4 linked regions of the Drosophila melanogaster genome follow. The protein of the gene in region 4 interacts with the protein of the main gene of each other region in a pairwise test. Each region holds a gene or a part of one and is shown on either strand. Other genes may lie near its edges.

Region 1 (5,827 bases), on a different chromosome or scaffold from region 4:
GGTATATGTTTGCCCCCTGTTAGGTATTCGATAGCGCCAATTTGATATGGCGGCCAGGAGCACAAATTAAGTTTCCCAGAAACGAAGAATACTACCTGAACAGCGTAGAATCCCCATTCCATTCTTCTGGCACTGGCAGTAGAGTGTTATCTTCCTTGGCTGCGAGTTTTATGTCTGCTCAGATCGTAAAGCTGTTAGCGACGCTATAAGGAAGAGAATCTCTCAAAAAGAAAGTTGGCAACAACGCAAATAAACTATGTAAAGTGGCTTCTTCAATGGAGAAAGAAGCCAATGCGAATAAGATGTTGCCGCAGGAACTTCATTTTGCTCAGCAGTGTTTTTTAATGCCCCTCAAGATAGTTAAAGGAAATTAATGAGTAGTAAAAGCGAAACGGACGGGCCAAGTTGCCAAAGAGAGTCACTCGATCCAACCACTCAGAGGCCACAAAAGCGAAATCAATATCCAATCATTAATCGTTAACTAATTCCATGAATTCTGCCCGACTTTGGGATCCCGGGTCCAGATTTTTTGGTCAGGTCCGTCTGTATTCGTTCCCATTTACCAAGTTCCAAAAACGCAACCAGACATGCCACACTAAAGACATATATTTATGCCCTGAAAGCAACTTTTGGCGTATTTAGAACAGCAACAACAACAAACAGCGGCAAAAAAACAGAAATATCAAGATAAAAATATTTTTTCGGGCGGCCCTTTGTGGCTCTTCGATGGGACAGTGGCTACACTGCCAAATATTACCCAGTCATAACGGTCAAATAAGATAATTAATAACCTCGCCAAATTTGAATAAATAATTACATATAAATTGAATAGACTGGAACCTTGAAACTATCTTTGCACCTATCAAAGTGATTTTAGTTAAGGTATGTCATGTCAATATTAGTCTTGATTGTTTCCGGTGTATTGGCCCGCCTAAACCAAGTATTTGCTGATTGCGGCTTTGTTGTTGTTATTGTCGTGGCGCGTCTCAAGTCTGGAGTCGTCTCTTTGGGCTCTCTTAAGGGATCTTCTTCTGGGATCTGGGACTTCCTCCCTCCACACACGCGTTTTGAATTCGATTTGCTGATTGCCGTTTGCTTCTTGGCGAGATTTCGATTTCGTCGGCAACAACAGCAACGACGAGCCTCGACCATGAAACAATTTTATATTTTTGTGCAGAAAAAACGAAGATCAATAAAATTTTACCGACAACTGTATTTCGCTCAGACATCGGAGTATAGGGCCCTAAAATTAGTGACCAAATTGTCAAAGTGTGGGCTTTTGGGAGGGGGTGTGGGTCACATTTTTGGTTACAGTAATCAGGACAGAATCGAGCAAAAAGAAATTGAAACTAAGCAGCTGGTAAAAATTTGATCTTAATTTTTTGTGCGCTTCGGTTTTGTAGACTCCGAAAGAGCTACAAAACAAAGTGTTGAAATTTATTTAGGGAATGTGGAGCTTTGTTGCGTTAGAAGGTTATGTTCACTCCATGGGAAACTAATGTGGCAAAAGACAGATTGGGACTGATTGATATGGACTACGATAAATGCTTACATGACCCATGAATTGTTATAATTAATAGTATAGGAAAGAAATGAGTGTATAAATAATATTTCACATCAAGAAAGTAGTTTTACTGCAGCATTTTCCTTGATTTCCTATTATCTACATTTGAGTTGAAAAGGTCCAGAAGTTTTGCCTATCAACTGTGAACTAAAAACACACAAAAAGAAAGTTGCCCCTAGGCCTTGTGCATAATTCTGTAGAAAAGCGAGAAACAAGGAGGCTTTGTAAAAAATGGGGATGAGAAGAGAGGGCGCCGTGTGAGTTCCTGCAGAATCCGCTGCAAGAAAGGTGCTCCAACAACAACAAAAACAAAAATGGCAATTCCCAGAAACGAGAGTGTGTGGGAGGTGGAGAAGGTGAAGATGGAGAATTCTTCCAAAGGAGCAAGAAGAGCAAAGAATAGGGGCCGTCACTAATGAATTTGTATGCAGAGACCGCAATGATTTGGCACAAAAACAAAAGCAACAGTAACGGAAATGCGAGGATTAAGAAAAAAAAGGAAAACGCGGGTCCAACGAACAACATTTTGTGAAATTAGTGCAGACAGTCGAAAAACGCACCTTTTATGTTTTGTAGCCTCTCTTCACATTTTACGATTGCCAGTTGTTTCTTTTTCCATGATTTTTGATTTATGCAAAAGCAATAAAAATTATTATAATGAAGGCGCTGACATGGCTGATGGCCAGAGCAAAAAGCGTGCACTGAGAGAAATAGCTTATACGAATCATCATCAAAGTTCGTCAAAATGATTATTCAATCAATCGGTTTCTTGAAGAAAGTGTGAAGATTTTGAAAAATAAATAAGTTATCCTGGTTTAATATTTAGTTTAAATACTTTTTAAAAACTACAACTGCCATTCTAATTTAAATTAAGATCCTCACATTTTATGTCTGTGTAGGCGAAGAACAGAGTTGGCGACACGTGATGATGGTAGGGATAAGGAGAAGAACTGGGGGCGATGACGATGCTTATGTTCCTTGTCCGTTACTTTAACTTTACTTGCTCTTTCTCCCGCACTGGGGCTCATGTTAAAAAACAAATAAAAGTTCAACAAAAAAGAGCGCGAAGAGAATGAGTCAGAATGTTTGTTTGACTTCTGCACAAAGAATGGCTTCTTATTTCTTTGTGCTTCTGCAAAAGCACATGTAAATAAATCAAAAGGCGACAGGAAAATCGCCATTTTCCCCGCCTATATGCACAATCATTTGGGCGCAAAAAGACTTTTTAGCAGAGCGCTTTAGTTTAACTTCCAACTATTAGCTATTTTGATGGTCAGCATAAATTCTTCACCTTTTTGCCGTAATTATCTGCAGGAGAGAGTCACTCCTCGCGGCTGCGCCCAAAAACGGTTAAACATAAAAAAACTAACGGCAGTTTTATAACGCTGGTCTTGGGAACTTGGGGAGATTACCTTTTGGGAGGCTGCGCCAAAAATGAGCGGAAAATGCCCGCAAAAAGAGTGGGCGCTCAGAGATCCCCGAAGATGATACACAAGCAATCAAAAGAAATGCAACGGCCTCATCGCGCTCCTCATCCTTCTTCTCCTCCTTCCTCCTCTATTCCATCTTCACCCATTTCTTCCTGCACTTGCCGATGCACCGTTACGCGGAGTTGAGCCCGGGTTCAAGATCACCGCACCCAGCCAAATGTTTTTTCTGTTATTTTTTCCTTGATTTTTTCGGGCGCATTCTCCGCCTTGTCTCTTTGCACTTTTACACAGATTCTTTGGGGGATATTTCGTCGGTTTATGATGTTTCTTTTCCTTTAGTTGGTGTTTTTCTATTTTTTTTTTTTTGTGAGGGCACTTGGGACTAACGGTTCTGTTTGGTGAAGTTAACAAATAAAAGTAGCGCGCGCACTCAACTCACCGACAAACAAACACAAGCGCACAAAAATGTTTAACACACCATCGTCGTGCCGGAGGCTCAAGGCTTTAACTTCCTCGATCCGCAGTAACTTGGTCACTTTTTACTTTTATTTCTTTTGATCAGTAGTAGTCAGGAGTTGGAAGGCTCTTTTGAGACACAACCGTCGCCGCCGATGGATTGCGCGCAATTGAATTTCCTCCACAGCGGCGACTCAGCTCGTCGCCTCAACGAAAACGACTTCAGAACTCAGACTCGAATTTCTCTGCCGACGCCGGCAGAAGCAGCGGCTGCAAAAAGGAACGCAGCTCGCAGGGGTGGCAACTTTTAGATACCTACTACCTGCCTTTTAAGGGGCATAGAATGTATAAAGTAACACTTCAAGTCGTGGAGTCTGACGTTAGCTAGACATAAAATATAACAACTTAAGTATACATACATATGTGTATAAATTATACTTTTGTTTAAGGATTTTCATAGTGTATTGGTTTAAATTTAAATGCAGAATAAGATGCATAGCTATATCCTTAGCAACTCGTATGAACTCTCTTACTCTCGAAAAATAAAGGGTACCTCGATCTTTGTTCGCTCTCTGCGCCGAATCGCTTGATACTCTCCCAGAAAGGACCAAAGGTTTCCCTAACAAGGCTTCTGGAATGTCGTAGAACAGGGGGATGTTATGTCATACGAGAAAGAGACTGTCTAAATAAGGATGCAGCCACTGATTTTGAAGGATTTCAAAAGCCTCACCTAATAGATTTTTTTAGGATACTTCTAGAATAATTTATAATATATTTTTAAATTTAAGAGACATATTTAGATATGGAAAGTTCTGCGTAAAGGATACACTTTAAAAGATTTAATGTATATTTATGAAAGCAAATTCATTGCTGACTTACTATAGGTACATATCCCAACATCAGCAATTGTATCCTTCCGAATGCATAGAAGATCCCCTAGAAGCCCAAAAAAGAAGTTTTAACTAAGACTTAAAGCCCAAAAAATGTTGTCCGTCGAGTGAGGCCTTCTGTCAGCTAATGATCGCCCAGAGCAGGCTGGTAAAAGTTGCGAACCTTGGGCCCGGGGACAACTCCATTAGGGCGGCCCACATTCGGTGGCCAGTTGGGTTTACATTTGGTTGGCGAGCAGGTGCATCGGCGGCAAGAGTGCGACCGAGAGTCGCGAGGAAAGTTGCGGCGCGTGGCTAGAGATCGATGAAGAAACCAGAAGACGAAGACCCGCGCTGCCCGCATATCGCGCATCAGGACAATCGCTGAGGCACGAGGCATGTCCGGACACATCTGGAGTGGCACAGAGTCTCATAGTCACACCTTGAGCAGAGCTGATCGCTTAGCTATGAAAAAGATACCATGAAATTTATTACATTTCTTTCAACCAGATCCTTTTTAAGCTTGATCAAAGAACTAAGAACTATAAATCAATTAATGGCATTTAAGATCATTTGTAAGATCAATAACATATTTCGAAAATGAAACCAACAAAGGATTTAAGTTTACTAACTTTTTATTCGGCTTGTAATTGTGCTTTATGCTTATCTTCAATGTGTCTGTACTTATATAATGAGGACGGCTAATATTTCAGCTTTTTTGCAGCGCAGCATAAGAGTCGCAATTTAGCATAAATGAAAACTGAACTGAGATCGCCGATGGCCAGGGCATCATTAAACACATTAACAGACAACAGACGATGGCGATGGCAGGTGATGCCAAACAGAGACAGGTTGGCAAACTGACTGAGTGGCTAAATGACTGACGGTATGACTGACTGACGGACTGAATGACTGACTAACTGAAGGACCGACTAAGAGCGCGGCTGAACGATCCCAATGGCAACTGTACACACAAACGGGCTCGAGTCGTTGGGGACTTTTAATGGGCTTAACCCGTGCCTCGAGGTCTCTTCTCACCGCCGACTCCACCGCACTCCTTTGTTAATTACAAAGGATGTGCCACAGGACAACATCTGCCGAATGCCAATCGATTCCCCAGCCCCTGGATGCTTAACCCCTAAATAAGCAAGCTACATTTTGCATATAAATAAACCCATCTTTGCTTATAGTTACAATGGTTAGATGATATACATACTTACATTTAAAAGTACTGAAAACATACTTTTGTTTATTAATATAACACGATAGGTTTCAAATGTAGTGTATCATAAATTTTCAAGAGGTCAAAGTTTACTTGTTTAGAAACCCCTATCCTTAGTGGGTTAAGCTTTGGTTGTATTCCGCGCAGCTGTACCATCTGTTTCCAGATCCTTCTGATCCTTGCGGCTTACGCACTCTCCTGCTTCTTCTTCTACTTGGTCCCTTCCCATTTCTGCTCCTGTTTGCCTGAATTTTCCATTTCTATTGTCAGGACGAAGGTATCGCAG
Region 2 (7,292 bases), on a different chromosome or scaffold from region 4:
AGCTTCTCTTCCGGCTGGCCCACTGCGGGAATCCGGTTCCTAGGTCCGCGCCAAATTGGCGCGTAATAAGGGTAATTAGAGTGCGGACATATGGCGTGCATTGGTCACCGAATATCGTATTTAATTTCAGGTGAAAGCCCAGTTACATTTTAAAGGTTTTGGTATAAGAAAAAACAAAAGTTTCAAGATAACTCCAATTAGTTGGGCACTTCGAAGGTAGCTGAGTAAATCAGAGGAAAACAGCACAACCATTTCCCCATTTGGCACCCACTTGGGTCCACTTGATTTGCATTTCTCATTCAGCGCGGGTTGGATTTATTGCATGGGATTATCTTTTGAAATTATTTCGATTTTAAGTTATATTTTTTGGATTTAACGGGGGCGAATCGGAGGAGGCAAAATGTTCGATTTCACAGTGAAAACTTCATAACTTCCATGTGAGAAATAAAATAATAAGTTACAATATATATTTTAACAAATATTAAATATATGTAATGCTAATGGTAATGGTACGTCGTAATGCTTAACTTTTTGAATGGTTAGCATTTGCTTGATACCTATCCGAAAATGCGTAGTCTTCAAAATCATCAAATCCAAGCCGCACTGTAGCATTTAGCTTTGCACATGCTTACGCCTCATTAAGGCATTTTAAAAATATTTCTCTTTGGCTTTGGTTTTCTCCCACTTTGCCCAACTTCCGAACTGATTTTCGCCTTATTTCGACCAAGTCATTTGCTTTTTTTTCTGCTGAACTTGAATTTTTGTTTGTAAAATAAAACCCCTGCAATCGCATTTAGTTGAAAGACACGTGCCGACAAGTTGTCAAGTACAAAGTTCGATTTATTTGCGCCGTGCAAAATAAAAGGTTTAACGATCTGCGGATTTGTCGATAGAAACTGGCACACGGCGAAGACAATGACGACGCATAGAACACAAGGCAGCAGAGGAATCAGATCGCGATCCGAGATCTCGGCGACTAGACCACGGCTGCTCACTTCATCAAGGGGGTCAAAGTCAACTCGGCATTCGCCCAGTCATCAGCAGACTGAACTCCACTAATAACCCCGATGCGAATTTCTAGTTCTCTGCAGCGATATTTATGGCCAGGCATTAGGGTGATGGCAACCGCCGAATTGCTCAATGGCAATCAGCAAACCTTAAAATAGTTTTTGCGCCAAGAAATAAAATTATATATGGCTTAATATAGCAATCTTCACCAAAACGCTCTTTTAGAAGTCTCAGCTTTTTTTTTTATTGTTTTGATTCGCTTTATGTTTTGTGATAGATCTGCATTTATAATGTATATGGTGATATAATATCTTAGGCTCCATGCGCGATGCTCTGCCGTGTGGGTGCAGGGATGCGGAATTTGTGATGTGCTGTGTATATGTGTGAATATAAAATCAGACCTCATTTAACGATGAAACGTATGTTCATTACTCCATACAACCCTAACAACTCTAAGCGGTAAGGTAAATACTAATGCCACAAGGGGATCATCTAATTGCATAACTTAAAGTAATTGCTTGGCTGACATGGTAGCTCCTTTAGATCCTGTTTTAGCAATGGAACCCTTGAGCGGAAGTCATCTCGTTTTGCCAATTTCAGATGCAAGCAATTCTGCACTACTCGAAATGTAAATCAACTTACGACAACATTAAGTAGACAAATTGGAATTTTATAAATAATTGTACATATATTAATTTCTCTACTGCAGATTTCATTCGACAATCAACTGGTTTTGCAATTTTTTTTTTTCTATGCAAGATTTTGATGATAAATGCGTGTAATTGTGTGTTAAGTGTGTGTTTTTGTCTTCTATATGGTTCCGTTGATTTTGTATAACAAGGTACAAATGCTCCCCAAACGCTAAAAAGGTTGCATTGTAAAACTGCGCTAGTTCGCATTAATATATGTTTTACTCGTACTATGAATGGGATTGTATGTGCTTTTACGATGATTGTTTCTTGGCATCCACTTCAGCATCTAAAAGGTTATTGGTTCGATGGGAACAGTGCATTCGCTATACATGACGCGGTACATGGCCATTTCAGAGATGCCATGGTAGTGGACAAAAGCGGCCGCAATGACCAGTATGTGGAATATTTGATGTGATTGACCCTGCAAAATAAAAGACTGTTAGAACGGTGCAAAGGACAAAACCATCAAGAATCGTACCCAAATGTCAAACTTTCCAGGGAACCAGCGTTCGGGAACACGGAGGGCGTACAGCAGTGCGCCCAGAATGTAGAGGAGGCCTGCAAGATGTATTTTGCCATTGTTTTACCATTATTTTAATATGCATATCTACAAGCACTCACCCATCAGAATTAGCCATCCCAGACTGGCGCGGCTCATCTGGCTGAACCAGCCCTCCATGATGCTGTAGTGAATAGCTGGAATCACACCCGACAGGCCAAAGCTCATAAATACGCCAGCGCGCAAGGGACGAAGTGCCGGCTCCGAAAACTTGTCCCATAGCGAGACCACGATGGAGAGGATGCCCAGAATGCTAACAACGGATAGGTATATCACCTTTGGCTGGTAATGACAGTAGAAGCCATAGTACAGCCAAGGCACAAAGGAACCCATGATCAGCAGCGCAATTCCACAGTAGTCAAGTCTGTTGGTAAACAAAACAATTAACATAATATCCATTTAATTAGTCGAGGAATACTTACTTAGAAAACAGTCTTCCCATCTCTACAGAATGACAGCTCAGTGTGTGAAAAGCGAATGAGAATCCTAGGCACACAATCGCACCGATAAAGAAGGCGCCAAAAACGATCTTCTCCTGTGTCTGGATCTCAACCGAGGGACGCGAGATGAAGTATAATGCCACGCCGATGAAGGCGATGCAGCCAAGAAGATGTGTCCAGATGTTGCCCGTTTCCGTGTGCACGCGGAAAATTGATTTAAAGCACGCACGGAAAGAGGGGAGCGGTGGGCGATGGCCGCGGTGTAGGAAGTCGTTATCCTGCAGCCACTTGGGTAGATTTTTGTAGTGGCACACTTTCCAGCTAGCCTCCCAGACCTACGGATGAAATGGAAAAAAATAACATATCATTCTATAGATAAGACATTACGTTTGGTAACTATAAACAAACAACAACAACAAAAAATACAGTCCCAACACTTAATACTATTTATTGAAATAAAAACAAAAATACAAAAGCTACAATATTACAAATCTTGAAGAGTATCTTCCATTTAAGCCATTCTTCACTTGGCAGCATCACTTGGCTTACCTTGCGCACAAACTCCTCTGCCTGCTCGGCGGCATTGTGTGCCAATGCGCCCAAATCAATTTCATCGGAGAGAACTCCGGCCTTCAGCACTTCCGTCATCTGTGGAATAGAGTGATAAGACATTAAACAGCTCTCAAAACAAATATAAAAAGCTTAATAACAAAGAAAAACTAAGAGCAAATGGGACTAACGACTGCATTTTCAGCTTGCTCCTTGACTGTGTCAGGGTTTTGGGTTCTGTAAGTTTCTTGACTGAGATCCGGCTCCAGATCCGGGTTGACACGCACTATAACCTCCGGCTGGGTCTGCATCTTGAGCGGCTAACAGAGATTCGAACGGAACTAGAACTAAATGTGCGAGGCAATGAGCGATTGTACTGTGAAGCCTCTGCCAGTCGCATACTCAATTTGTTGGCGGAACAAGAAAGCACCGAATGCGTTCCGCGATAAGATAAGCTTGCCCGAAACTGACTCCGGGCATTATCAGCACCGCATCGACGTAAATTTGTGATTTTTTTCCAGCATCTGTCGTATAAAGGGCTATGCCAAAGCTTTTTGCGTTCAATCTAAGCCTGACCTTTAAAGCCGGTGATCAAACGGGCAGATTGTCTAGAGTATAAGGCTCAAAGTCAAGAAATTTTACTTGACACCTTTCGGACAGACATTAAAGGCAAGGAGAGATAAGAGGTATAACTTTCAAATGGCTATGGAATATGCTTTAAATTGAGCAATTGTATTTAGTGAGTCATAAAAATGGAGAAATGGCCACGATAAGGTTTAAGTACAATGGTTATGGTACATTTTGCATGTGGCAAATAGACATTGGCCAATGCAACATTTCGATTGATAAGACGCCCGACATTGAAATGACTGCCTGCGCAGAGGGAAAATTGCGACTAACAAGTGGCAGCCGATAACCACATGGTGGTAGGTCAGCGATAAGAGCTCCGCCACATGTTTTGACGATTGCATTTCGTACTTTTCCACCTGGTGGAAAATGGAAATAAAGGTTAATAGCCCCAACTCACCTCCGCCTCAATAAGCTGTGTGTCCTCCGGGGTCGAGGGGAGTGGACAACCGGCGTCATCCTCCTCGACCAACTCATCGTCGTACTCCAGAATGTCCAGATCATTGGGGCTAAGCGAGTCCTCCGGTCCCCAGCCACGTCGCTTGCGCAGGATCATCTGCACCTGCTCAAAGATATCCTCGTCTGAACCTTCTCTACGCAAGGTGGCCGTGGTGGTGGTCACCGCCTCGCCGGTAGCATGTCCTTCGGCGTCCATGCCGAAAGTGGCTCGAGCCTGGGTGGTTACCTCCACCTCGGCGGGATGGCTCCCGCCACTCACATCAGCCGCTGAGCCCTGTTGCTCGAGGAGATTAGTGGCCGAATCCATGGTCTTACGATCCCGCGGATTCGTTTTGCACTCCGCAAATAGTATTCTGTAAGAGAAATACGTTCTGTTCAATACGATACATACGAATTTAGTTGTTCGAAAGCAATGCTAAGCGTTTGTTAGCTCAACGCTAGCTCGTCTGGGAAATGCGATATTTGTTTATTTGTTTATTGGTCTGCTCCGATCGCATTGCTATATAGTATGGCGCGACCTTTGTTCCCCAGTAAATCGGTTGTACGTAGCACATAAGTCTGTATCTGGTAGCTTTGTGTGTTTTATCACTTAGGAAACTTAGCTGCCAATTACGTTTTTACATAAGATGGTGTTCAAATGCGAGTGGGATCCTCAGTGGGTTAAGGTGCAGTTGCTATTTCGGGGAAACCATTATATAGATAGCAAAGTGCATGGAAAATGCAGCCAGAAGGCCACGTGTGAGTGGAATACTACCAACTGGCTTAACCCCCACCTGCACTCCACTTGCGCAGTTCCCATTTTTTTTATACGAAGTTACAGAAAGTGTCACAACACAAACGAACGATTAATCACTCGATTTCACTGGCGTTTCGTTACTATTCACTTACCACTCGAAAGTCGCGCAGTTGGCGTGGCTTCGACGGCAGGCCCAGGAGTCAACACTGGCGCGAAAAACTATTTGCTGCACTTGCTTCAATTGCGTGCAATTGCAGTTTTTCATCTGTTTTCCCTTAATTTAATTTTTTCTGTGTTTTTTCCAGTGTGACTGCAAGCGCGATAGGGAAAATCACTAGCAATCATATGGGAACGGAGGAAATGCGGTCATACCTTGACGCAGCAGCTGTTAACGGCTGTTAACGCTACTTTGTAGTCACAGCTCTGTAAAACAATGTGGCAACTCTGCGCAGCGCCCGCCATATTTGAAAATGCTTGCCAGCAAATCGTATTGCTCCCGGTAAACAAGGTGCTTTCATTATTAGTCAACATTTTTGAGAGCTAACAACTTTTTATTGGCGATCAAAGGTGGTACTTCAACTGACCAAATATTGGATATTTGCGTAAATACCTAACAGGCATTTGTTTTTTTTTTCATGAGAAATTACCGTGACGAAATTACAAGACGTATATTATATGAATAGAAAATTTTCCTCTAGTCTGTAAACACTTCAGTAACAGAGAAATTGTTTTCAAAAAATGTTAAGGCATCTCATTAAAAAACATCAACAATGAACTCAACTTAAGCCTGGTAGTTATGAATTAGCATGTGTAGTTCCCCGATATTTAACCTACTTAAGTATGCACATATCTGCCATTCCTTGGACACTTTTGCAAAGACAACAAAGACAACATCACAGCTTACTTAAAATATATATATTTAAATTAATTAATTAAAGTAATACAAGAATGTCTAATTATAGCTTTTTTAGAAATAGCATTACGGTGTTATAAAAACCCACAAATGTAGGCAAATAACAATTCTAATAATAAAGAAACTTAATTGGGAAGACAAAATGGTGTTTGGCTAGTGAGGAAATATCACCAGCCTTGCAGGCCCAATAAAGATTCACTTGTTTGGCAAGCTCTTAATAGCGCAATTTAACTACGTTTTAATAGCGCCCTTAGAATATTTATTGCACATAAAGGCCAATATGTTTAGTCAAGAGTCATTCATCTTTGTTAAACAAATTCAATTTCAAACATAAGACTATAGAACTTGCTTTGCTCAGGGGCAGCCCATCAAGATGATATACCCTATTGACCAATCCAGGCCAATATCATCCATCAGCTCTCGGCGTTCTGACCAGCTACGTTAGAAACTCGGCCAAGGAGCAGATTTCGCACAGACCCCGACTAGCGGTATTAATCGACTGAATTAATACATTTAGTAGCGCTGAAGTTCAGGGTCATAATCACAAAAGAGAAGCGCCGATAATGCGAGCTGTTTCTGTTTGAATGACGAGCGCGCGACAAAAAATGCTAAACGGCCAATGTGCTTCAAATGGAAATGGAAATGCCAAAGACCCGGAAGGGTGGCGACCAACACAGCTGCAGTGCATCCAACTCGGCAAACATTTGCATATTTGACCGGGCACTTAGCACGTGGGTGGAGTACATGGATCACCATGGGTCACACAAATCACCTGGGAATCTGGGAGACTGGTGAGAGTAAGTGCGTGAAATTGACCCATTCATTGGACGGACAATCGCTTCCCATCGATCTGGAAATGTGTTAACTGCGCCCGTAAACCCTATTTGCGTAGTTAAATTAAGTGCCAGGTTATGGAGTTGGGGCGTGTCATCCCCCACATTGGCACATATATATATATATATATAAGCACTTATAACTATGCTGCCAATTGAGTTCGTCTCAATGACGTGACGGCGATAATAAATCAATTGTCTAGCGGTTTATTTAAAGCCAATTTTGTAGCTGGAAATTGGCACACAGAAAGAAAAGTGGTGTCAGGAACTTATATATAAAATGTTATTATTTTGGTTATTTTTAAAGGGTCTAATGGAACTATTTTTATTATAAAAATGTAGATAATTTTTTAAGCATTTCTTTATAGAGATGTTTTTAGAAAAATGTTTTTTTAAATGGGCACACAGAAAGAAAAGTGGTGTCAGGAACTTACATATATAAAATATTATCCATATCTATTTTGTTAATTTTAAAG
Region 3 (4,355 bases), on a different chromosome or scaffold from region 4:
TCGGGGATTACTAAAATCAATACTTCAATAAACGTTTTCCTATCAATGTTAAAAAACCAAATGTACTTATAGTGTCTGATTATAAGCAGACAATAGCTGGCCGATTAAATATGATTATATTAATAAGAACAATTTATATTTGCGACTTTTTCTAACTGACAGTGGTGTGATTGAAAAATGAGAAAGGAATTTGTTTTTTTTTTTTTGTATTTTTATCTAACAACTTACCATTTTTTCGAATGGGTACTTTTCCATTCGTAGATTCTAAGATCTTGATAGTAGGACTTGTGGAGCCAAATGAATACGCATTGGACTTTGCTATGCATGGGGCATTCCTTCCAAGAAAAACCACATTTAACAAAATATGTACTTCTGATTAAATATAAACGTTAATGGGTGATAAGTGGCTTATTTTTTTTTTTTTTTGACTTTGTACAGACAAATGACGCAAAAGGATGGACTTTAATAAAACGACTAAGAACATGCAATTTTTACGTCTCAAAAGAAAATCGAAATTCGTTACAAAGTTCCATTCTGTAAAACATATTATGTGGGGTACTAGTATACAAAACACTTTTTATGCAGAGCTGATCTTAAATAATTAAAAAGATAAAAAAGGATTGTTTAAATATAAGAGTTAATCTGATTGACAAAGTTCAAATTCTTAGAAATTAAATTATCGCTTTTCTGTACTGAAAAGTGTATCCAATGACGTTAAACGAATTAACTCTAAAATTGTTTACCCACCGCTTCGAAGGAATTTTATTTTTACAATACCAATGACAAGTTAAATTTAATTTAAGTCTATCAAAAATTGATTAACTGTGTTATGACTGCAACTAAATTAAAATCATTTGTAGCAAATTAAACTTGATTCCAATCAAATCGATTGGATTGATACCTTTAATTCCTATTATCGTTATTGATTTTCAAAATGTTTTGATAGACTTAAAAAGCGTTAAGTACTCACGCCTATTATGCTTATAAAAAAATTTAATAGGCATCGCAATGTTATGACGATTGAATTTTTCTTGTGAATCTCACGTATTTAACGCAGATTGACTGTTGACAATTGTAATTCATAATTCTTTGGGGGATTACCCTCGAATAGGTATTTCTATTTTTATCCGTATTTATCTTATAAATACCAAGAAATGATATCGTACTTTGTTGACGAAGCTTGAACGAATAACACAAGTGCCAGCTCTACATAACAAGTCAGACAACTAAAAGATCTATAGATGAAAGACATAAAAGAGACATCTTAATACCTCTACTTCCATATCAAATGGTCATTTATATTCTTTTTAGACATTATCAGTACAGTTTTTATTAAATTATTAAACTAAATTTAATCTTAAGTTTTCCCTTCAAATGATGACTGCATATTGGTTTGAGTTACGCGGTTGGATGAGCGTGGCATACTTCTCCTTCAGTTCGACCAAAGCCCTCTGGAAGTTCTCCACGCTGCTCTCGAGCTGGTTGGGACTGAGCTGCTGGACGGACTGGCCCTTGAGTAGACCATCGGTGGGTCGCTCTCCCAGGAGGAGAATCCTTCTCCAATCGCTGGCATCGGAGCTACCTCGCAGGAAGTCCTTGCGATTGCCAACCGCAAACACAGTTTCCTCCATATTCTCGGGCAAAATTGTGGGCTGCTGGGCTCCCAGATCGCCGGGCGTGGGTTGAGTTGGTGGCACTTGGACTGCTGGTGGTGTGATCCCCGAGAGAGATGACGATGTGGGTTGCGGTGGAGGAATGGGAGCACCGGAACCTTGGTTCACCGGTGTATCGAACAGTTCACTGGGCAGATTCTGCGGTCGATCGATCTGCACCACCTGGCCATCGGGTGAAATGTGGAAGAACTGAGCGCGACCAGCTAATCCCGTTCCTGGTCCTCCTGGAATCACTATAATGTTGCCCACAGCGGTGGTCAATGCAGAGGCTCCACCAAATCCGCCACCACCTGGGGTGGAAATGAAAGGAGGGACTGGAACTCCCGGTGGCGGAAAGGATCTCAAAGGTGGAGGAGCTGGGCATGGGAAACAATATCCAGGAGGACCAGGCGGTCCTGGTAAGCCTCTAGGCCCCTGGATGAAAGGCAGATTTGGGGGGTAAGGACCTGTGGGTGGATAGCCCCAGTAGCCAGAACCACTGCCAGAGAGACCGTTCTGATTGCCAGGAGGTCCAGGCGGACCTGGAGGTCCTCGTTCCCCCTGTGGACCAGGATCACAAGAGCATTTCACCAACGAAGCCTGGGCGGTGGAGCAAAGACCTGATGGAATATATGGTATTGTAATATTGTAGAAAAATTTATAAATGTTTTATAAACTTACCAGCAACCAGAAAAGCCAAGAGTCCCAAAAAACTCATGATGTACTTCGGATTTCTCTTCAGATCGGACTGAGATCCAAAATTCGAATTCGGCTTTTATAAGCTGAAAAACTCGAGAGCTACGTTTTAATATGCATAGAAAATATACAAAATAATCTCTAGATCGAACAGAAAACACATTTCCCGCATCTCTATAACTGTTCTTAACCCACCATCGAAAGGGAAATGCTAAGCGATCAAAAGGAAAAATGCCATCACCCAGTCGGCGCAGTGACAATTATGATAATTTATGCAACAAAATATACACGAACATCATTAGGCCCGACGACAAGCCTTTAAACTGGGTCAGCAGGGTTCTCGGTTTGATTCTTGGCCAGCCAGCCGCAATCAGCGGGACAACTTCAAAAATACATCAACTGTCTATCAGGTCATAAACAGTGATCAGATTGTAGAGTTTATGTGACCAAATGTGGGCGATACCCATCAAAGTGACACCCAGATTTTTGAATTGCCTTTTCATCAAAACGGAAACTCTTCAGGGATTATCCCAAGCGCCTTTACAGTTTCCACTGCCCAGAATTAGCATAAATTACGAAATCAATATGTTTCCAATCAGTTACCACACTACCACGGCTAGAAATGAAAAGGCTCTGTAACATTTCCGACTTATCACAGAATTCCATTGACGAGACAAAGCCCACCGAAAACACGCGTCATTAGTGGACGAGTGCCCACTCCGTAGGTGTTCACTTCCAAACTAGCGCCGTTCCCTGGAACTATGATGACACTGGGCCTCTTGAAAGTCCCGATAAGCAGAGAAGTAAATCCGGATGAAGGGTGGCTTGTGGCAGCAGTTGAAACCATTCGATACACTTCAAAATAGTTGTTTACTAGAAACTGCTAATCTCAAAGGTATGTCCATAGGTTATCTTACCAAACTTCCGAAACTTTGAATTAAAACGTACTTAGTGCTGAAGGAAAATTATTCAGTACTTATACTGATAATATTTTTGAAAGTTGCTTGTATTTGAAACAACTTAAGTCATTTATTCATATAGTTGATTCTGGAAAGCTCACCAAACATTTTAGGGTATAAGACACACTGTGTGTAAACACTGCAGTGATTGGTCGTATACGTAATATAAACATAGTTCAGTTACTTGAGACAAATCGAACATCATCAGTTAACGACAAGAATCCGAAAGGCTTTATCAATGGTGTTGTCATGGAATAACCCCAAAGTACTCCATCCATCCTGTGCTCCCAAACGAAAAGAAAACGAATGGAAGTGCCAGAATTGGCCCCCTAATAAATGGGATGATAAGACCGTTGAAGTTGTTTGCCTCCCAGTAATTGGAAAACAATTTGAGGGTCAATGTTACCGAGTGAATCAAAAATAGTAAAAGTGAAACGATCTGTGTGTTCGCTGATAATGGCCAAGATGAAGGGGGCTTATACTGTCATAAACTTTTTTTTTGGTTTTATATATTGAATTTATTATTAGATTATCGACTATTGCTAATCAGCACATTTCTTGCATCGTACATAACTTAATTGGCGCAAACAAGTTCAAGTCACATTTTGTTGCAGTTGCATAGATTGATAAGTTTTCTAGGCAAACAATTCAAATAAAATACTCGATGTACACCGTATGCAACGTAACATACGCACATATATGACATAAAAGTTATCTTCGGAAATATATCAAATATTTTGTGTAAGCAAGCTTCTTAGTAATTTAAGTAAGTAGAGAAATGTTATTTTATGGAACAGTAGAAATTACAAAACCAAAAATTAGTGTATAGGATTAATTGACTCTTAAAACTAGCAAAACGTAAATGCAACAGAAAGAGCTTTTAATTCACAATGTTTTCCCAAATTTTCTCATTTGAAACGTCTAGTCTTATAATTCCGAAGTAAACCTTTTAGGTGATATATGTAGTTTGCGTATACATCGTTAAACTGAATCTTTTATCTTTGGTGCGAATATATTGGACTGGCATTCATTTTCACACCAACATGAG
Region 4 (4,770 bases):
ACGGAGGGGTAAATCAGGACATCCTTCACACGAAGCTGGGAAGTGAACACGCCCAGGGAGTAGCTAATTCTACCCTGAATGTTCAGATCCTCGAGAGCAAAGAAGGCGCCACCGTTGCGCTTGATGCGATAGCCACTGCCCATGTCCATCTCGTAATCGGTGGTGAAGTTAAGGCTGGCAAAGTTGATGTTGAAGGTCAAGCGACTCCTGATCACGTCCATGTTCATGGTGATAATCTCGTACTGATCGAGCCCCTGAAGTTCAAAGTTCTCGACTCCAAAGGTGCCACTGAATTCTCCCGAGTTGATTTCGAACGACCTCTGCGCCGCCTTCATGGGTGCCATAACGGGGATTCCAAATCTCGGGCTACCATTTTGCAGGACGACCCTGAATGCCTCCAATCCGTCCACAATTACGCTGGAGAAAGAGCGTCCTTGGGCTGAAAATTAACTATGATTATTAAATTTTCCCTAAAATTTTCTTCATATTCTCACCTGACAAAGGTTCGGCAACTTCGGCACCTTGACAGCTGGCCAGGGCCACGATAAGCGCAATCAGGAATGCAGACTTCATTCTTAGCACAGAACACTAGTTAACCCTTTTGGCAATCAAAATCCACTAGTCGAAGCTTGCCAAATCCATTCCTCTTATATAGGAAAATGACCATTGAGATAATCTATCGGTACACAGCACAAAAATATCAGTGTCTAGATTAAAAAATTTTAATATTAGGAAAACTTCTATGTACAGTGAATAAACAGTGAATGCTTTCTTGGCTTATATTTACAAAAACATGGTTGAAATATGGAACAATTTGTTATTTATTCTTAAATAATTAGTGTTTATAAAGGTTTAAAGAAATATTAGGGGCATTCCTCTCATATCAAAATTATTGTTTATTGACACAAAATGGTGAGGTATTGAGTACAGTGCTCTAAGATATTCCCTTTGATATAAAAATCATATTCTGAAAATCGCTATATCTTATTATATTATTTTGTATGAATCTACATTTTTTTTCTGTGCATGTGAAGTAGCTTTATTAATCGGCAAATAATTTGGCAAAGTGTTTTATGACAGATAGGACACAACTTGAGATTAGACCGTCTTTGAAATATAATGAAAGCTGATGGATGTTGTAAATATTAAGCTTTTTAAAACATCGTTTAAATTTCCCAATGCAATGAACAAAAAAAAACCCACCGAAAGCCAGTCCCGCAAGAAAAGAGCCAGGTGACGAATTCTTGATTCATAAACGGTTGTTTAATGACCGATGATTTGTTTACCACTCGAACTCGGGGGGAATGCAGGCCTCCTTCTCTCCACCCTCACCATCACCACCGGCACCGGAGATGATCTCGGCGATGCTGATGTCGTCCAGAACGCTGTTGACGGCGGGCAGGGCAATACTCTCGATGGTATCGGCAATCAGATCTTCGTTCTCATTGATGGCCAGCTCCACGGCCTCGGCCAAGTACTCATTCATCTTCTCGTTGATGCTGCCATCGCCCAGGATGCCCTCGATCTCGGAATCAACCTCACCCAAGTGGGTGCGGACCTCCAATGACTTCAGCTTCAGGTTGCCGCTGATCACGCCGAGTGAGTACTTCATAGTGCCCCAGATAACCATATCCTTGATGGCGAATTTGGCATGTCCGGCACCGATCAGATTGATGGTAAATCCGTACTTCTTTAGCAGCACACTCAAATCGTATTGGGTATCCACGTTCACGTCGCGGAAAGTGAACTTGTAGGTCACCTTGCTGGTGATGGCGTTGACCTTCATCTCATCGATATCAAAATCATTCAGACCGTTCAGGCGGAAGTGATCAATGGTTCCCTGAGCCTTCAGCACGCTGCTATCGATGTTGATATCCTGATGGTCAATTCTAAGAGGAGCCAATGGCGGCAGGCCGACACTGGTAAAGCCACAGGGCATCTGCTCCTTAATGCCCTCGATCACATCCACAATCGTGCTGGAGATCGACTGGGTTTCTAGAGAATCAAATGGATAGGTATGCTAAATATTTGGGCATTGGAAATCATCTGGAATACTCACCAATGGGCTGGCCCATGGAAGCCGCACTGGCAACGGCCACAAAAGCCAAAATAGCCACGAAGATTTTCATTATTGCTTTGACTGAGAGTCCTACCGACTGATCGTAGTACCTACGGTATTTATACTACTCAGTCGTCCGGTCGCACGAGTCGCTTTTTATAGACGATCAACATTTCAGGTGGGGTTGTGATAAGGTGGCTTCGTACTCGTGAACGATTTGATTAGCCACCGGGCGTTCAATCGATGGCCTATTGCTGTCTTATCTCGGCCAACGATTCCCCGGTTGGCAAATTTTTTAATTTTAATGATTAGTTATATATACATACATGGGGGTACTTATCCTAAGGAAATGATCAGATTTAAAAAGACAGTTTTCACTAAAGTACAAACATTGCCTTCTTGTGGAGGAGTGTCAAGATCAAAGTCTATTTGGGGTGTGTCCCCGCTTTGTTATGGTTAGAAGGCTTCAAAAAAGTGTGTTTTTCTAAAACGTTTTCTAAAAAAGAAGGTGTAGGATTAGTGGTTGACTTGGAAACAAGATTTTAAAATCATTAGTTTCGCGATTACAGAGTACTCATACATTAAATGTATGGTCTTACGAAAACTTTCCATCAATCGATATTTTAAGGTCATGCAGGTGTTGAAGCCAATAGGAAACATTTTAACAAAGTAATTATCAAAATTGAAAACGACTACCAAAAATTTAGCATGATTATAATCTTCTAAAGAAGTCTGTTTGGAATTAAAATTCTCCATGCACTTCTGCGGATCTAAAGTCTGCGAAAAGTTTGTTTATTGATTAACAATCAAGTGATTTTTAAGTGCATTGAGTGATTTATGAATGATATCTCGACTGGGGTATTTAAAGGTCTTACGAATGGATCTATTAATAAAAAAATCCAGACGATTAACACCTGATGGCTAGTCAAATACTCTCTTAACGAATTATTGGCTTTAAAGTTAACGCCAGTCCTAGCCCAATATGTTTATCAATAAGTAGTTTACCCATTGTGTTAGTTCCCCTTGTAAAATCGTAATCAGAATAGCAATAAATCACTTTTTAGTACGCCTTTAAGGTTCTAAAGAGTACAAAAAAGCCACTGAAGCTCTGAAGACAAAAGAATTTACCCCCACTGAGTGATACGAATCGGTCATCCAGTGTAATCCGCCGACACCTGCATGGAGTGGTTGACGCAGTTTTACCCCCGGTAGACCAGTTATTTGTGTATAATCCAGATCGCAATGATAGGCAATATATATTCTTTAAGTGATATTGACAATCGATTGGCCAATTGGACGTCGAGATTAGGCCAAAACAAGCCACTCAGGCGAAACAAGTGCTCCCTTTTTTTACAAACCACTTGCCGAATGATTTGATTCCTTCGTTTTTAAATCGGAAGCCTATCGTGAATTGGGCGTTATGTTCATGGCAGCTCCGCTAATCAAAAGTAGCGATTAGCATTTGTATTTGTTAACCTGGTTAAGTGATCCCTTCCCTTCCCCTCGGCTTGCCCTTCGAATCCGCTAGCTTTGCTATAAAAGCCACTGACCGGCTGGGACAATCAATCAGGTGGCTGGCTATACAATGAAAGCTATCGTTTGTGTTTTTGTGACCCTTTTGGCCTGCGTAGCGGCCTACGATGTGGAGCTGCTCACCGAGGAGCAATGGGACCAGCTGGTGGCGCGTAATCGTAAGTGTCTTAAGCCATCCATCACCTGACCAAACAGAGGACTAATTGCAATGTGATTCCCCGCAAACAGCCGCCAAGCCCGATACTCAGGGTCTGATCTTGAACGGATCGGTGAAGAAGGCCATCAATGGACTGCTGAACCAAATGCCTTGTGGTTGGCCCCAATATGGAATTCCACCACTGGATCCCTACACCAATGCTGATCTCCGCATCCACTTGGCCGAGTCGGTTGTCGAGTGAGTTATAATTAATTGGAGTGATTGTATCAGTGGATCTAATAGTCATCCTTAGTACCCTGCTGCAGTTCCTGCGCTTCCGTTTCGATGGCCTGGAAGGCATGGAGATCAAGAAGATGAAGGTCAGCTACACCTTTAGCAAGAAGGTCAAGTTCCACTTCAACTTCCCAGAGCTGAAGGCCAGTGCCCACTATTTGGACACCAACACCTTTGTGAATCTGCTGAAGGAACTGGGATTGTCGGTGCGCTACGAGAGCTCGGGCCCATTGTCCTTCAGCCTGCAGAATCTGTCGATTCAGGGCGAGTTCAAGTACAAGATGCCCTTCATCTTTGGCTCCATCAAGATCTACAAGTTCAGTTGCGCCGTCGGCTTGGGCGGTGTATCCTCGAACATTGGCGGTGTAATGGGAAATGGAAGGATCAATGAGTTCATCAACGACATGCTCGACAAGGAGATCCCGGCCTTCATCAATGGCAACCAGGAACAGATCAGCGCCAAGATCGAGGAGATCTTTGTGCCGCTGGCCAATGCGCATCTCACGGGTCACAAGATCTGGTATCTCTTTAGCTTGCTGTCCGCCACCACTGGCAGTTGCAATCCCACTCCCGCTCCCTGGTTGGCCATTGAGTCCAGGAAGCTAGACTAAGGCAACACCAGCCAATAAAAAGCAATTCAAACGAGTCCACGATCTACGTTTTAATTAGTCCCCATTCCGTCTGCTATCTTCGCTCAATATCACCTTCTACGCGTTATCGTCTGCTGGGGATTTTGGTATATAAGACT

The links.
Region 1: the proteins of CG8997 (region 4) and jigr1 interact in a two-hybrid assay, tested with the Drosophila melanogaster proteins (one large-scale study listed by BioGRID).
Region 2: the proteins of CG8997 (region 4) and AdipoR interact in a two-hybrid assay, tested with the Drosophila melanogaster proteins (one large-scale study listed by BioGRID).
Region 3: the proteins of CG8997 (region 4) and CG10591 interact in a two-hybrid assay, tested with the Drosophila melanogaster proteins (one large-scale study listed by BioGRID).

What each region holds. Positions count from the first base shown.
Region 1 is NT_033777.3:25,635,679-25,641,505, reverse strand, and holds the start of jigr1 (jing interacting gene regulatory 1), read right to left. Parts: upstream 3,664-5,827; 5' UTR 3,434-3,663; exon of another isoform or gene 2,977-3,433; intron 1,714-2,976; exon of another isoform or gene 1,553-1,713; intron 1-1,552.
Region 2 is NT_033777.3:22,542,437-22,549,728, forward strand, and holds AdipoR (adiponectin receptor), read right to left. Parts: upstream 5,411-7,292; 5' UTR 5,223-5,410; intron 5,130-5,222; exon of another isoform or gene 4,948-5,129; intron 4,763-4,947; exon of another isoform or gene 4,688-4,762; 5' UTR 4,642-4,687; coding exon 4,276-4,641; intron 3,838-4,275; exon of another isoform or gene 3,651-3,837; intron 3,596-3,650; exon of another isoform or gene 3,560-3,595; coding exon of another isoform or gene 3,440-3,559; intron 3,348-3,439; coding exon 3,249-3,347; intron 3,035-3,248; coding exon 2,682-3,034; intron 2,624-2,681; coding exon 2,322-2,623; intron 2,259-2,321; coding exon 2,179-2,258; intron 2,122-2,178; coding exon 1,987-2,121; 3' UTR 1,257-1,986; downstream 1-1,256. UniProt on the Drosophila melanogaster protein: Adiponectin receptor. In insulin-producing cells, regulates insulin secretion and controls glucose and lipid metabolism.
Region 3 is NT_037436.4:5,597,288-5,601,642, forward strand, and holds CG10591 (uncharacterized protein), read right to left. Parts: upstream 2,406-4,355; 5' UTR 2,371-2,405; coding exon 2,334-2,370; intron 2,273-2,333; coding exon 1,371-2,272; 3' UTR 1,270-1,370; downstream 1-1,269.
Region 4 is NT_033779.5:13,843,134-13,847,903, forward strand, and holds CG8997 (uncharacterized protein), read right to left. Parts: upstream 2,193-4,770; 5' UTR 2,130-2,192; coding exon 2,060-2,129; intron 1,996-2,059; coding exon 1,283-1,995; 3' UTR 782-1,282; downstream 1-781. Other genes in the region: CG33306 (uncharacterized protein), read right to left, coding at 1-439, 495-573; CG7916 (uncharacterized protein), read left to right, coding at 3,645-3,750, 3,821-3,986, 4,042-4,633.